Linked DNA regions of Oryctolagus cuniculus. The protein of the gene in region 2 purifies or fractionates together with the protein of the main gene of each other region. This does not show direct contact. Links are inferred from orthologs where the notes say so. Each region holds a gene or a part of one and is shown on either strand. Other genes may lie near its edges. The genes, in order: CD9 and ITGA3.

Evidence for each region.
Region 1: the proteins of ITGA3 (region 2) and CD9 purify together in Homo sapiens (affinity purification with western blotting; 3 studies listed by BioGRID and IntAct, with this or other methods). This does not show direct contact. The link is inferred for Oryctolagus cuniculus from reciprocal best matches to the Homo sapiens genes ITGA3 and CD9.

Annotation. Positions count from the first base shown.
Region 1 is NC_091440.1:103,272,475-103,280,349, forward strand, and holds the start of CD9 (CD9 antigen), read right to left. Parts: upstream 4,939-7,875; 5' UTR 4,742-4,938; coding exon 4,676-4,741; intron 1-4,675. UniProt on the Homo sapiens protein: Integral membrane protein associated with integrins, which regulates different processes, such as sperm-egg fusion, platelet activation and aggregation, and cell adhesion.
Region 2 is NC_091448.1:26,033,740-26,041,667, reverse strand, and holds the start of ITGA3 (integrin alpha-3), read right to left. Parts: upstream 5,128-7,928; coding exon 4,922-5,127; exon of another isoform or gene 4,573-4,921; intron 3,690-4,572; exon of another isoform or gene 2,912-3,689; intron 1-2,911.

The DNA.
Region 1 (7,875 bases), on a different chromosome or scaffold from region 2:
CCACTCGGGTCTATCCGGGACGGGCTGCCGACAAGGCGCCCACGGAGGCCATGGCCGGCGGCGACCTTAGGCCCCTCCCCTCCGGGCCAGCCGCACCCAGGCAGGAACATGAGGGGCCGGGTTGCTTGGGAGAGAAAGCGCTCTTGTAAACCCAAGGTATTATTAAGTTGCACTGTGTGCCCAGTCCCCAGGCCACACCTCCTCATAAAACGGAACGGGAAAGCAAACAGACAAAACGCACACAGGACAAACAGCTCGGAGTGCAAAGCTGGAGGGCTCCCACCCAAAGGAAGGTGTGGCAGCAATGATTTATGGGGACCATGAGACACGGAAGGAAGGCTCAGTTAGCAGAGTAGGGGCTCTGGGCGGGGGTGGCCTGTGACAGTTTCCTATGCAGGCAGTACCAGACTCGGGCTGCACTAGCAGCTGCTTTCTTTGAGCACAAAAGTGTGGGGTCTGGAAGGTGCTTGGGGGCGGTCACTCAAAAAGAAAGGGGTGGAGAGGGTGAGGGAGGGAGACTGAGTGTACAGGAGGAATCCTCTTGCTACCACCAGATCAGAAGGCCAGACGTTTGGGGAGAGAGCCTGAGCAGGCAAAGGCCTCATTTTCCTTCCCAGATGCAGACATCTGGCCTCAACTCACCTCTGCTGGAACCTGCCAGCCTCAGTACAAACAGAGCCCGGCTCAGCAGCGGCCCAGGCTGTCTGGGCGCCAGGGGCGGGAAGCCAACTGCCCCACAGTCCACACTGGCCCAGCCCCTACCTCCAAGTCAGGCAGCTTCTGCCAGGAGCAGCAAGCCAGAGGGAGGGGCTTTGGCCGGTGCCACCCTGCTCATCCATACCCTGCCCAGGCTCCGAATCCTGCTGCCTCACGGCTTTTCTCGGGGGCAGTTTTACGTTCAGGAAGACTGGCGCAGGGGCAGGAAGAGGTGGCAAAGAAGGGAGGCATGGTGCGGGCGGAAGTGCTCCTGGCTGCATCTGTGGCTCCCACTGCCACACCTGTCAGAGGCTGCTCTCCACTCCACCCTGTGGAGTGCTCTCCCAGGCCACCCTGTGCAAGGCTACCACGCCAAGGGCATGGCCCACATTCTTGAGCTGCCACAGCAATGCCCGGGGAGACGCTGAGCACCAGAGGGCTAAGGTGCATGGGCACTGACAACACCACCAGAGAGCCCACCCAGGGCAAGTAGAGGGGAGCGAGAGGTAACAGGAAAGAGACACAGGAACCAGGTTCTTGCTCCAGAGGCAGAAGTCAGGGGCAGCGATGCTGGGAGGATGAGTCTTGAAAACACAGATCTTTCCATTTCCTGACTTCCGCCTGGGGCTGGGGCTGGGTGTGAAAGTCCTATTGCTCCAGGGGTTGGCTTCTAGGCTGAGTGTGATGTTCTAACCTGTTCGCTGGTTTTACAAATGGGGAAACTGAGTTCCGGGGCACAGGTCTGGGGACAGAGTCCACGTCTCCCATTGGGTCCAGGTGACACCATTTCTTGGGAAAGAGGACCCTCCCTGCTATTTCCATCACTGAGGGAGGGTCAGGGGTGAGCCATGATGAGCAGAGTGGAGGAGGTGGAGGGCGAGGAACTGGGCTCACTCAGTTCAGCCAACTCTTCCCCTCCTTTATCCTAAGGAGCTCCAGGAAGAAGGCGGAAACCCTCGCTGTGCAGACTTAGAATCTGCGAATAGAATGGGGATGGCACATCCCTTGGGTAGCCCTAGCCCTGGTCCCCCCGTCCAGCTTGAACGGGGTTGTTTAGCACTCTGATACTAGGAAGATGTTTTCCCTCTCAACTGTTTTGCAGGGGGTTGGCGGGCAGGGAGGGCTGAAGGAAATGCAGAAACAACCAAAATAGAGCTAGGAGGTTTGGTTCTGGGGGTGTTGGAAAAACAGGCTGATTGCTAGTTTGGCCATGGGCATCAGACACCGGACATGGGGAGGGCTGACTGCACAGGCGCAGCTGTCACGGAGGGATCCTCAGGACTGAGAGCAGGGCCAGACAGAGGCACAACGTCCCAGGTGGCCCACAGCCTTCCCACTGCCGCTGGGGCTGGCTTCTCTCTCCATCCCCGCCAGACCCCACACCGCCCCATCGCCCGTGCCCAGCATCCTCAGTACAGGAGACGTGGGGGGCTCCTGGCCTCACAACTCTTGCGTTTCAAGACCCATATCGGCTTTCAAATACCAAGATATAAATCCCTGGTCTTGGAACAGAAAGGGAAGTGGTGACATCATCATAATCCAAGCAGTCTCCTTAGATCCTAGATTTCCTTAAAAGAGTCTTGGAGCTGTTGTTTGGCCTGGCAGTTAAAACGCCTGCATCACACATCAGAGTACTGGGTTTGATTCCTGGCTCTGGCTCTTGATTCCAGTGTCCCTGCTAAAGCAGATCCTGCGAGGTAGCAGCGACAGCTCAACAGGATTCCTGCTACTACGTGGGAGACCTGGGAGGAGTTCCCAGCTCCTAACATCAGCCCAGACCAACCCAAGCTACTGCAGACATTTGGGGGAATAAACCTCTAGATGGGAGTTCTGTCTGTGCCTTTCAAATAAAAATTTGGAAAATAATTTTTTGGGAGGAAGGGGGAGCTTCATCCCACTGTCTTGCATTCCCACCCAGTTGGGTAAAATAACTTAATCTGATATGCTCCTGCCACATGACCTTGGCACTTAACTTCTTTGGGGACCAAGTTCCCTGGTTGTCGGTAAAGGGGGGATGACACTTCCTGCTCTGTGTTGGAAAAGAAAGGACTTTGCAAAACACGGCACAAAGTGCACCACCATCATCTGGGGGGAAAAGGCGTTACCTCTGCAAGGACCCCAGTACAAGACAAGTGACCAATAAATACTCAGGAAAGTGTGGTCGCTGCTCATCTCCCCGTGACGGGCTTGGCAAGGGACAGAAGGAGAGGAAGGGACCCAGGGGTTAATGGCAGTGGCGCTGTCTGGGATCCTGGGCAAACCCACTCAGCATCTGGTTCTCTGCTTCCTCACTGTGAAGGAGAGCTCCCGCGCCACTCCCAACTCTCAACCCAAACATTTCCAGCATGAGTCAGCCTTGTTTCGGCCGGCAGAGCTAACCAGCAGCACCTAGCCCAGGCAGGGAGCTGTGAATTCGAGTGGGGTGGCAGGCTGGAAGCAGTCTTGACAGATTGCGGGTCCTGCAAGACTCCCATCAGCTTCCCCCATGTGCCATGGGGCTGATGGGGGTGCAGTCTGGCTGTGGCAATCTAAGCCAACAGCCGAGGGCTAACCAATGGACTGGCAGGGCAGAGGGCAAAGCTCCTCAAATGACGAGGGTGGGGTGAGGCTCCTTCAAACATTCTTTTCTGGGACACAGACTTGGGGAGAGGCAGAAGCTGAGACTGGCAGCTGGCTGGCTGTAGGTAACACCAGTAGGAGGGGGTGCCCCCCCCCCAGGGCAGGGCCTCCCTGAAGCTGCCTAGGGTCGGGCAGGGGCACACCTATGTGCTATGCTCAGCAGTGTGTGTTGGGCGTGCAGACCCTCGCGAAGGCAGGTCAGACTGCAGGCTGCAGAACGGCTCTGCTACGGCGCCTTCAGCTTGCAGAGGGTCAGATCTTAGGGCGTCTACCCCAGGGCCCCAGGGAAGCAGTCATTTGTTCCAGGGGAAGAAGTGCATTTCTGGGGTCCCAGTCTCTGCCCTCTCCAGCTTCCTCTCCTGAGTGGTGCGGGAACTGCCCTCCCAAACCCTCTCCAGCCTGCAGACGGGGCAAATGCGGTCCATTTGTGTGTAAGGGATATTGGCTCTGGACCAGGACACAAAAGTCCCTGCATCCCCCAAGGGAAAAAGGTGTGGCCTGGACACACTCCTTTCCCACTGCTTCTGATAGCCAGTGGGTGTGCCCGGGGCGCCCTGCCCGGATGGCCTCTCCAGGTGAGCACCCCGCCTGGCCATCGGGCAGGCAGCCCCAGGCACCTGATCCCAGGCCGGAAGTGCCAAAACCCGGGACTCATCGCACTGGAGGCGCCGGCGATAGGCATCAGCTCCTACTTTCCTCCCCAACTCTCCCAGAGTTCTCTCCAGTTAAGATGCTTATCGCCCTCGGAAAACAAAATCAAGCCAAGCTCGTCTTTCAGGTTGCTGCAAGGGAGCGCGGCCGCTCGCACGGCGGCGCCAAGCCCCATCTTGGGTGAAGGGGGCCGCGCGGTCCCTCCCCCAGGGGACCCGGGGTGGGGGTGAGGGGTCGGGGTCTCGGCTCTCACCCAGGCCCGGGTCCCCTGCACTGTTAAAGGGCGGAGAGGACAGTGTCCGCACCGCCGAGTCCTCGGAGCGCCCGCTCCCACGGTGGACCCCACCCGGCCACCAACTGCACTGCCCGCCGGTCCTCCCCGCCCAGGGCTCTGAGTTCCCGAGAGAGCTGTATCCCGCTTCTCCCCGCAGCCTTTCCCATGGAGCACACCCAAACCCCACTCCAGTGCGCGCGGAGGAGAGGGACGCGAGCGGCCGGCACGCCCGGGCTCGCTAGAGCCCCTCGCGGACGGGCCCGTCCCGCGCGCCCGGGGCCGAGGTGCCAGCTGGCAGCCGCAGGGCCCTCTCGCCCGCCCAGCCTGGGCAGTGCCGGCCGCCGTGGCGCCCCCGACCCTCTCGGGGGGGGGGGGCTTGGGGGCCCAGAAACAGGTGGCCCGTGAGAGGAACGCGCGGTCATGGCACGCACTCACCCAGAAGACGAAGTTAAACCCGAAGAGCAGGTACTTGATGCACTTGGTGCCTCCTTTGACCGGCATGATGCTGAATAGAGGGGCCTTGGCTGGCTTGACCGGGGGTGGGCCTGGGAACACGAACGGCTGCGGCTGCGGCTGCGGCTGGGGCTGAGGCTGAGGCTGCGGCTGGGACTGGGGCTGGGGCTGGGGCTGGGGCTGGGGCTGGGGCTGGTGGAACCCGGCAAAGGACGGAGGTGCTGGCGGCTGCTGCTTGGCCTCCGGCTGCACTTTTAAAAAAGTGCCACTCCTTAGGGCGCGCGGCGGGTTCCCTGCGCATGTGCCGGGGCCGCCGCCCCCGCCCAGCCCGCCTCCCGGCCCCACCTGCCCCGCCCACGCCCCGCACCGCCCAGCCCAGGTCCGCGAGGCAGGGACCCTGCCGCTCCCCGAGGCCTCGCCCCTGCTCTGCTTCCCTCCACCGCCCTCCCAACTTCCCCGTCTCCTTTTCTCTGCCCCGGGCCTCCCCTGGCCGCCACCCCTGCCCCTGTTACCGGGGGGTTGTACGGGTAGCCTCGCCCTTCCGGTGGTCCCCAGACTGGCGCTGCACTTGGGGGTGCCTTCGGCGGGGCGGCGGGAGCCGGAGGCCCCTTCCCCACGGCCGCCTGCCCCCACGGGTCCTGCTGCGGCTGCTCCAGCCTGAGGGGCCCCCGCGGGTCCTGCTGCGCCTGCTGCAGCCTGAGGGTCGCTGCCTGCCTTTATTTCCCTCTCGGACGGCTCTTCACAGGCCCTCCGGTGATGAACTTGCTCTTCTTTGGCACACCAGGTGGAACAGGAGGTGGTGGTAGAAGTCCGCAAGGCCGGGTGGGAGCACACCTGGGGCTTGTGGAAATCGTTTATCTAGTAGAGTCGGGCAGCCCAGGTTGCTTCCGGGGCTTGCGGTGTGGATGCCCGGTAGGAAGGTGAGGGGTGGTCGCCACGTCTCTGTTCCACTCCTCCACGCGCTCTTGCTCGGGACTCCCAGAGCTGCGCACGGCTGCCTGTGGGATGCTCCCGGCGACCAGCTCTGAGCCGGCTCCCCGCTACTCAGAAACTTGCGGCAGCTCCGCGCATTGTGACCTAAGGGGAGACACCTCACCTTGCTCTCAAGGCCCTGCTATGACACTCCTCTTTCTGCCATGCCTCTCCTCACCCCTGCTCTGCCTCCACCTGGCCCGGCCCTGCCCCCTTCATTGGAAGGACAGGGATGGCCCCATAATGTCAACACACCTTTCCTACGGGGTGAGGAGAGTCTTGGTTTTTGGAGACCCTTGAGCCCTGTTGGCACTTTTTTCCCCCCAAAATGAGGCTCTTGGGGCCGGAGCTTTGGCCAAGCGGGTAAAGCTGCAGTGCAGGCATCCCAAAAGGGCGCTGGTTCAAGTCCCGCCTGCTCCACTTTCAATTCCGCTCTCTGCGATGGCCTGGGAATGCAGTAGAAGATGGGCCAAGCCCTTGGGCCCCTGCACCCGCACAGGAGACCTGGAAGAGGCTCCAGGCTCCTGGCTTCCGCTCGGCGCAGCTCCGGGCATTGTGGCCATTTGGGGAGTGAGCCAGTGGATGGAAGACCTCTTTCTGCCTCTGCCTCTCTCTAACTCTGCCTTTCAAATAAATAAGTAAATCTTTAAAAAAGAAATGAGGCTCCCATGATCATTGGTTATTCTTACCAAGGCAAAGCCTGCTCATTACAAAAAACACCAGAAAATGCTAAGAAACAAAAAGGACTCAACAAATTCCACGCACTGGAAGCAGCCCCTGGTATCGCACTGTAGCTCTTGCTTTGTCTCCGTATTATCCTTAGTCTCCTCTCCTGGACTGAACCATTCAAATACATGTTTCCGGTACATGTGACGGTATTTTATAGGAGCTGGGAAAGTAGATGAGATCTTATTTCTGCCCTCCAGGCAGTTAAAGAGCAATCAGTAGTGGCAGTGGTGGCGCCTCGGGTGGTGGCAGGCAGCACGGGATGGGAGGAAGGTGATGGGTGGAGTGACAGGTGGGCGTGGGGACCAAGGGAGCTGGGAGCTGGGGCTTTAGCTCTAAATCAGGAAGAATTAACTTTTCCACAGGGAAACTGACAATAGAGAGAGAATCCTGGGCTGAGATGGGGGCTTCCTGGGTCTGGGCTGGAGCTCGCAGTGGGAGGCGTGTGGGGAGGGGAAGGTGCGGGGTGTGGGTGCCAGGTCTCTCAGCCGCGGGCTCTGTACTCTGAGTGAGCATGGCCAGTGAAGGGTTCAGGGAGGGGAATGAGTAATGAGCTGTGTGTTCCAGGTAGGGCCCTACCTGCATTTTAGGTTCTCCTTGGGTGGAAGTGGGTAGGAAGGGGACAGGCAGGAAGCTCCTGCAGGGCATGGGCCATTGCTGGTGTCTGCAGTCCCTGGCTCGGAGCTTTGGGACATTGGACAGAGAGCTGAGATGCTCTCTGAGCAAGCTGTCTCTGGGTGCCATGGGGGCAGCATCGGGAGATGAAAGGTGTGCCGAGGGCAGTGGAGAGACAAGGTGAGAGACAAGGGGACACGAATGAGGCTGGGGCAATGGCCGGGGCAGCTGAGTGATGGGATGAGGTGGGAGGGGGAGGGACAGCTGGGGCTCAGAGGGGCAGCAGCCAGGTCATGGAGGGGGCTTTGCTCATTTGCTGTCAGTGTCTTGGGTGCTTGTATATGATTCCGCATGCCAGGAAGCAGCCTCTGTCCATGAACAGAGCGCGGGAGGATCCCAGTGTGGGGCAGGGAGACCCATGAACAGATAACAGGCTCCTAAATCTTTGTTCAGCAGAAGATAAGACACAGCCTAGGGACAAGGAGTGGGGCCAGGGGCTGCAGAGCCAGGGACGCTTCAGAGGCTGACTTAGGGAGGTGGGGTCGGCGAGCAAAGTGCCGGACGGAGGGAACTGTGTGCGCAGAGGCAGGAAACCCACTGCTGGCTGCTGACTGCTGGGGAAACCGCGCGTGGTGAGACGGGGAGAGGACCGGACGCAGAAGCAGAGCCTCCCCTGAGCTTCGTGCCACGGGCCGGCTGGGACCCCACAGTGTGGGAGGCTTGTGGGGATGGTGGGTAGAGCAACAGACAATGCCCCATGGTGCCTCTGTCCACAGGAGCCCGCTACTTGGGAGGACAGGTGTTAGGTCAAAAAGGGGCTTCATCTCTTTGGCTCCTGCCTTGTGGTGGGAAGAATTCAGCCAATATTT
Region 2 (7,928 bases):
GTCTACAGCCAGAGGCCTGTGCGTGCACGAGGGAAGGCGGCGTGCAGAGGTCCAGCTTCCTCCAGCCACAGCCAGGTGAGTGCAGGCAGGGCTGCAGAATCCAGAGGCTAGAAGGGTCCTTACTGACATGAAAATGAAAATATAACTTCTAGCAGCCGGTGTCGTGGGGCAGCAGGTTAAGCCGCAGCCTGTGACACCGGCATCCCATAAGGATGCCTGTTTGAGTCCCAGTTGCTCCACTTCCCATCCAGCTCCCTGCTAATGCACCTCGGAAAGTAGCAGAAGATGGTGCAGTGGCCGGCGCTGTGGTGTAGCGGTAAAGCCGCCACCTGCAGTGCTGGCATCCCATATGGGCTCCGGCTCAAGTCCCAGCTGCTTCTCTTCTAATCCAGCTCTCTGCTATGGCCTGGGAAAGCAGTAGAAGAGGGCCCAAGTGCTTGGGCCCCTGTACTCACATGGGAGACCTGGAGGAAGCTACTGGCTCCTGGTTTCTGATCAGCTCAGCTCCAGCCATTGTGGCCATCTGGGGAGTGAACCAGCAGCCAGAAGATATCTGTGTGTGTGTATGTGCGTGTGTAAAACTCTGCTTTCCAAATAAATCTTAAGAAAAAAGAAAATAGAACATGTAGGCAAATAAGCACCTCTGTGATCCACCTGCTGCTGGGTCTTGTCCAGAGCACAGGGTCTAAAAGCCAACCCCTCCCAGGCCACCAATGCACCTGTCCACCCAGCCCAGGGAGAAGGTGGGAGGTTGGATGGAGAGATGGAGCTCATGGAGCAAGGAAGACCAGAGATGCAACCAGGTTGGGGTCAGGGAGCAGGGAGCCCCTGGGAGGAGGAGGGTGGGGGAGATGACCTCTCGGGGGCTTTCCAACAGCTGCCTCCTCACACCCTCTCATCTGGCTCCAGGCAGACAGCCCCTGCTGGCCCCTGGGGAGGCTCCTGAGCTCTAAGCTCCAGAAAAGCTATGCTCACCCCTGCCCGGTCACTCCTCCCGGGCAGTTCAAAGCTAATGGAAGAGTCAAGTAGCGAGCAATGGAATCAAAGAAGCTGAGGAATGGGACCCAGGAGAGATCAGGCACCAGGTTGGCTCATTCCAAAGAGAAGGAGGTCCCTGGGGGAACACAGGGTGGGGTGAGGCGCAGAGAAAAAAAATCCATAACATCCAAAAAAAACTTCCCGGGAAGGTTTCAGAGGGGGCCAGAGGGACCCAGCACTCAGGCCAGCTCTAGGCACGTGCTCCCCTCCCAGGCCAGGAAGCAGGAGGGGAGGGGGCCTGCTCTAGCCCTGATCCCCAGAGGGTAGGGGGATGGGCAGTTCTCAAGATCTTGGATCCCAGCTCAGTGCCAGCGCTGTTGCCCAAATTAATCATCTCCCCAGAGGCAGTTCCTGCGGTAGCTGAAGCTGCAGCCCTCTCCATCCTCCCGCTGCTCCTCCTCCACTGCCCACCCAGCCCCCTCTCCCCACTGGTGACTCAGCCCGAGAGCCAGAGCGACCAGCTGGAGGCAGTGAGAGAATGAGAAGGCATGGGAGAAGAGGCCGTGGGCAAGGCTCAGGTTAAGAAAAAAAAAACTATTTTTTTCATTTCTTCTTCTTTCTCTCTCTCTTTAGTATCCCTGTCCACCACAGGGCACTCTTGGTGTCATCTAACCTCAGGTAAGAGGTTACCGCAAGGACATCCTCCCCCCCCCCCCCCCCGGCTTAGCCCTGTGCGACCAAGCAAGCCCCTTTTGCTGCTGCTGCCTTTGCGGCTGGCCTTCCTCGGTGCCCGCCCACTTCAAAGACCCTGGGGCTGTCACTGGTCGCTGGGGAGAACCGGAGGGAAGGGAGCTGCCACGTGCAGCCACAGCTGCTGTGCCCATTTCTGCTGGCACGAGCCTCGGAGGCTGCCAGGCACCCGCCCCACCCAGGGGAACCTGTTTCGGGAGAGCACAGCAGGTAAGCTGGGCTCCTGCCTACCTTGTGCCTGACATCATTTCCACGAGCGCCAGGCCTCCAGATGCCCTCATTTCCAGCAAAGGATAAAGGGAGAGAGGCTCAGAGCCTGCCCTCATGGCTCACAAGGACTTCCAGGAGGGAGCAACAGGGCGGGTGCCACCTCCCTCCAGGGGGACCGCATGCATCTCACCATTAGAAGCCAAAGTACCCTGGTCTCCCCCATGCTCCTCTTTTCCAGGGATGGGGGACTGGGTCGTGCATTGGCGGGAACCCCCGATGATGTGGGTGGGGAAGGAAGGCGATGGGGCAGCAGAGAGGGTCCCCCTACCCCGGGGTGGGGATTTGAGAACAGGAAAGCTGTGCTCTCCCCTCTTCCCGCTCCAGGACAAGGAACAAAACACACAGGATTCTGCCTCTACTCTCAAAGATCCCTCATTTCCTAAAAACCTTCTATGAACCCCAGACTCACAAGCCTGTTCTCCTTCCAAAGGGACTTTGAGAGCAACAGAACGTGAGGCCACAGCTTGGCTCGCTAGTTCCCCCCCGGGCGCGGTGTACCCAGGCAGCTGCTCACATCTGGCTACACAGCTGGCTGCTGCCAAGCCCAGCTGGCCCCCTTGGCTCTCCCACAGGGCCAGCGTACAGAATTCAGTGAGCCAAGGAGGTAAGCCTAGAGGTAGACCCACTTCTGGAAAAAGACTGAGGATGCCCATGCAGGGAGGCCCCAAACTCTCTCTAGAACCACCTGCCTCTTGGAGGTCCATGAGCTCTAACCTTCTTGCAATTGGAAGGCCTAATGCCATCTCGAGCTGCCCAGGCAGAAAAGCAGAAGCCCTTAGCTCAGCCATCTCGGGTGGAGCTCGTGGGTTCTGGGGGTGCATCCAGGTCCTGGTTGCAGCACCAGAGCCTGCAGCTGCACCTGGGGGAAGTGGGCATATGTAAGGTACTTTATAAAAAAAATCATTTAAATTTATTTATTTGAGAGAGAGCTTCCATCCACTATTTCACTCCCCCAAATGCCCTTAATGGCCTGAGGGCTGAAGCTGGGAACCAGGAACTCAATCCAAGTCTCCCATGTGGATGGCAGGAACCCAACTACTTGAGCCACCAGTGCTGTCCTGCGGGGTCTGCGTTAACAGAAAGTTGGAATCGGCCTCTGGTGCCGGGAATGGAATGGAGGCAATCTGATGAGGGGCGCAGGTATTTAACTAGCGCTTTATGGCGAGCCCAGACGGCCACCTGGGCAGTGCATTTCAAACACATGGTCCCATTAAAGCCCCACTGGCGCCCCTAAAGAACGAGCCCCTTTCCCCTTCAGAGGAGAAATAGTCTCAGGGACAGACCCACGACCGGACCCTGGCAGTGGCACTTGGGAGCCTCTTTGCCCTCCACAATGCCAAGTCGCCTCTTGCAGGCCCTCGGAGGTGGGCAGGAGACAGAGATCCAACTCCAAACCCTTTTTGGGAAAAACTGTCCCAGGGAAGGAACGTGTGCTGCTCAAGGTCACATGGTAAAGGGGGGAGGGGCGGCCTCGGAGTCGCTGCGTGTGCTGCCTTCCCAGACCGATCTGCTCATCACCCTGCAAACTCCTATCCAGCAGCCTGAACATCTTTTTCGCGGGCCAGGGCAGGAAGAGCACTGGCACAGAGAATCGCCCCGATGGTCGTTCGGGGTTTGCTGAAGCCAGACAGCAGCAGGAGTCAGACCAGGAAGGGTGTGGTGGCCCTCACCTCCACAGAAGCCAGATGGAGGTGAGGCTGCACCCGGGCAGGCAGGCTGGGTAGGGGCTGGGCCGACGGGGCAGAGGCCAGGGCTGGGGCAGTTTGGACTTTGACCATTCCCAACTTCCTCAAGCTTCTGCAGGCCCCAGCCGGAGCTGGGAGAGGTTTCTTCCAGCTCGGTGGGGTCAGAGGCCAGGGGAAGACAGACACCTGTCGGGTCACCTGGCCGGTAGGGGCCAAAGCGGCTTGCAGGACCTGTCCTAACCACTGTCCCAGCCTGGGCAGCCTCATTCTCCCCCTCCCCCGGCCCTGCCCCCAGCTGCCGACCTCAGCACACTCTGAGCCCACAGCAGAGAAAGCCCTGGAGCCTGGACATGCCCCCGGGTGTGGGTCCCTACGGAGGGAGTCTGCGGGGAGGGGCAGGCAGCTGGATGCTCTCTTTCCCTCCTCCCCTGAGCCCTTCCAGCTCCTTCTCCTTTGCAGCTGTCGGGGAAGGAGAACAGAAGAAAAACACCATTTCCCTCTTCAAACCAAAACAAACACACTCAGGGCTGCGATTCAACATGAATCTGTGGAATGCGGGGATGATGTCTGGTGGGAGAGCGCCCCTGCGGCTGGGAGGCGCAGTCCCAATGGGGACAGCTCCTCTCTCTCATCCACGCCCCTGCGCTCACGGGGTCAGAAGGAGCTTCTGGACAGCTCCGCATGGCCGCACGGCCGGACTCAGCCGTCGGCTCCCCGCTCCCCCTGCACCAGCCCGCCGGGCGGTTGAGCAGGCTATCCCGTCTGGCTCTGCAGAGGGCGTGGCCCGCGTGGCCGCAGACTAAGTGCGAGGTGCGGGCTTAAATGCATGTGCTGTGGGTTCTCCCCGGGAGGGGGAGGGGCACTAGGTGTGTTTATCTTGTTTATCCAGCTCCCAGCCCTGGAGAGAAGAGGCCAGCGCTAGGCACTCCGTTCACCCGCTGGCTGGGGGCTCAGGCAACAGGGACCACACTTCTGCTCGCAGAGATCTGAAGGGTGGAGGGGCCGCGTCTAGACAGGTTCTGGCCAGGTCAGCACTTGCCAGTGAGGACTGCCCCCCACACCACGCCCAATCCTCCACTTCCCGCCAAAGCTCGGCAGCCCGGGGGGCTGCTCGGAAATCCGCTCCCCAGAATCCTGGCTCACAAGGGTCGGGGGGTCCAGTGGGCTGCGACCCCGCTCCGGCACCGCACCCCGCCGCGCTCACTCCGTCCCGCCCCACCCCCGCCAGCCCCACTTACAGGTAGCGTTGCTGCCGCTCGGTCTGCCGGTGGAGGGCGACCGAGTAGCCGAAGAGGCTGCTCGGGTTCTTGGCCTCCTTTACCACAAGGAATCGGGTGTCCAGGTTGAAGGCGGAGGCGACGCGGCCGCCGGCCGCCACCATCAAAGCGAACGCGCAGAGCAGCGGGCGCGGGGCGCCGGGCGCGCGGCGGGCGCCAGGGCCCATGGCTGCTAGCCGGAGCAGCGGCCGGGGCGAGAGCGCGCGGAGCGAGGACCTGTTCACCTGCTCCCTGGCTGCCGAGGCCACCCGTGCCCGCAGCGCCGCTGCGCCTCCGAGTGCGGATCCGTTCCTCGCCCTCAGCCCCGCTCAGTTTCGCGTCTGCTCCGGCTCTGCGCTCTCCGATCCCCTTCCAAGGTCCGCGGGTCTATTCAATCGCCTCTCCCGCAGTCGGGTCACCGGCCCCCTAGCTTGTCCCGGCCGCGCCCCCTTGGCTGCGCTGTCGCCTTCGATCCCGGCTGGGCGGCGGATCCGGACGGGGAGATCAGTCGACCGCCGGGAGGCCGGGAGGCCGGGAGGGAGGGGTCCCACTGCGCGCGCCCCGCCTTCCCCACGCCCAGCCCCGCACCTCCCCACCTTGCGCGCCCAGCCCGGACTCCGCTTTCCTTCCGGGGAAAGAGAAAAGGTCCCCGCGCGGCCACCGCCTCTTAAAGGGGCAGCACCGCCCCGCCCTCCTCATCCTTCCTTCCTGGCTCCGCCCTCTCCCTCAGACACCTGTCGGGAGCCCCAAAAAGCTTGAGTTTGCCCTCTCCGCCCCTCGAATCTCTCGAGAAGCGTCGCCTCCGGAGCGAGAAGGGTTGGACGGGCGGGGCCGGGGCTGGGATTTGCCCCGCCGCTTTGCTGCGGCTGCTGCCGCCTTAGGAAAGGCCGTTGCAGGCGCAGCCACCTCTGCTGTCCCGGCTGAAGAGGCCGGGCGTTGGCGCATCTGAGAACGGTCTCCCCGCGCGCTGCTGGTTGCAACGCTCGGCTCGCCTCCGCAGCGCTGTGAGTGCCCAGGAGGTGGCTGGCGGTCTCTGGGCGCTCTCCCCGCACCCAGCCCCTCCTCTGTCTCTGTTAAGATTTATTTCTGCGATCCACCCGCCCCCACCTTCCTGATTCGAGCTGGGACTGGCTCCACAGCGAAGCCAGACAGATACTTAGTAGTGGTAATTATCAAACATCGCTAATTGTAATTAGCAAAATGATAACATTTCCCCTTAAGGGTTGCTGCTTCTAGAAGGTGGATGCGACTCTTGAAGACGAGTCCCTCCGTAGCGGGAACTGTGTGGCCAGAGCTGGCCCAAACTGCACCGGTTTCTCCTCCACTACTGCCTTCAGGGACTGGCCGGCAGAATCTCAAAGGTCCACTCCTTCGCTCAGGCTGAGGCTGAGCCAGGGTGGGGTTGCTGGGCAGGAAGACAGCACCCCCAGGTGAGCAGTGGGGGGGGTGCCAGGTGGAGGTGGGTGGGCGGCACCCAAAGATCTCATTATTCCTAGAAGAATCAAACAGAAAAGAGCTGCCAGAGGTCACTGTGTACTTTTGAAGTACAATAGATGTCTCTTACTGCAGCGCAACATTTTCCCTGAGCGTTTTTCTTTTCTCTCTAGCTTCTCACCATCATAGTAAGAGAAATCCTATCGATTAAACACATATGCAGCGTGAACTGAGTGCTTTACAAATATGAATAAATTAAAGGCTCACAGCAATCATGGAGCTGTCCTTTGTGTTTCAAGATGAGAAGGCTCAGGCTAAGGACCCTCAGCTAGGAATCTAACCCCGTGTTTCGGCCCCTGGAACGCTGCTCAGGAGCACGCCTGCTAACTGAGCTCTGACAGACCTGGCCTCTCCTGCAGCCTGGGGCTCCCTGTAAGGAGCAGAATACAGAACTGAGACTGAGGAGATCAGAGTCAGAGCCTGGGACCTGGCCCAGCCTCGCTTTCCAGTTTGTGAATCATTTCTTGGGCAGACCCATTTCATCCGGCCAGCTTCCCAGGGAGGTCAGGATCACCCTCTTCATTTCCTTTCAAAGAATGGAGCCCCAGGACAGTCCAAGGTCACACAGCTTATGGGAGGCAGGGCTGGGATGGAAACCATTGGCCACAGCACTGTCTCTAAGAGACAAACTCTGGGGCCAATGCTGTGGTGTAGTAGGCTAAGCTTTCTACTGTGGCGCCAGCATCCCACGTGGGCACTGGTTCGTGTCCCAGCTGCTCCACTTCCCATCCAGCTCTCTGGTATGGTCTGGGAAAGCAGAGGAAGATGGCCCAAGTCCTTTGATCCCTGCACCCGCGTGGGAGACCTGAAAAAAGCTCTCGGCTCCTGGCTTCTGATCAACCCAGCTCCAGCGGTTGCCGCCAATTGGGGAGTGAACCAGCGGATGATAGACCTTTCTCTCTGTCTGTAACAATACCTCTCAAATAAATAAATAAAATCTTAAAAAGAGAGAGAGAGAGAGACAAACTCCAGGCAGATGTTGATCAACAACCAGACGTGTAAACAAAAGCAGCTGCGATAACAGCTTTTTCTGTGGTGGTTGGGAAGAGGATGCTTGTCCCCGACTGCCCTTAAGACAGTGTTTGTTCCCAAGCTGTGACTTCCAGAGCCACCCAGCCTCCCTCATGGTCTGCCTTGTGGCCCATGACATCAGGGTAAGGAGACATCCAGGCCAAGGCACAGGAAGCAGACCTAGATAGAGGTTGACCAGATGGCTTTCCCATCCCTCCCTCCACCCCTGTTCCTTCTGCTACTTCCTGGACTTCCTAGTTTGTTCCTAAAGAAGGAGACACAGCCAGGATCAGGAGGACAGGGGCCCAGGATGGACACTCAGTGTGGGTATAAGTCCTGCCACTCAGAGTCTTGTGATGACAAATGGGCTCCTTGCCAGGCCTTATCTCTCTGGCCATCCCAAACAGGAATGACCAGCATGTCCGATTCAGGGATGGGGGGGGCAGGAAAGGGATGAGGGATGGTTTTCCACTCCAGGGGAGTG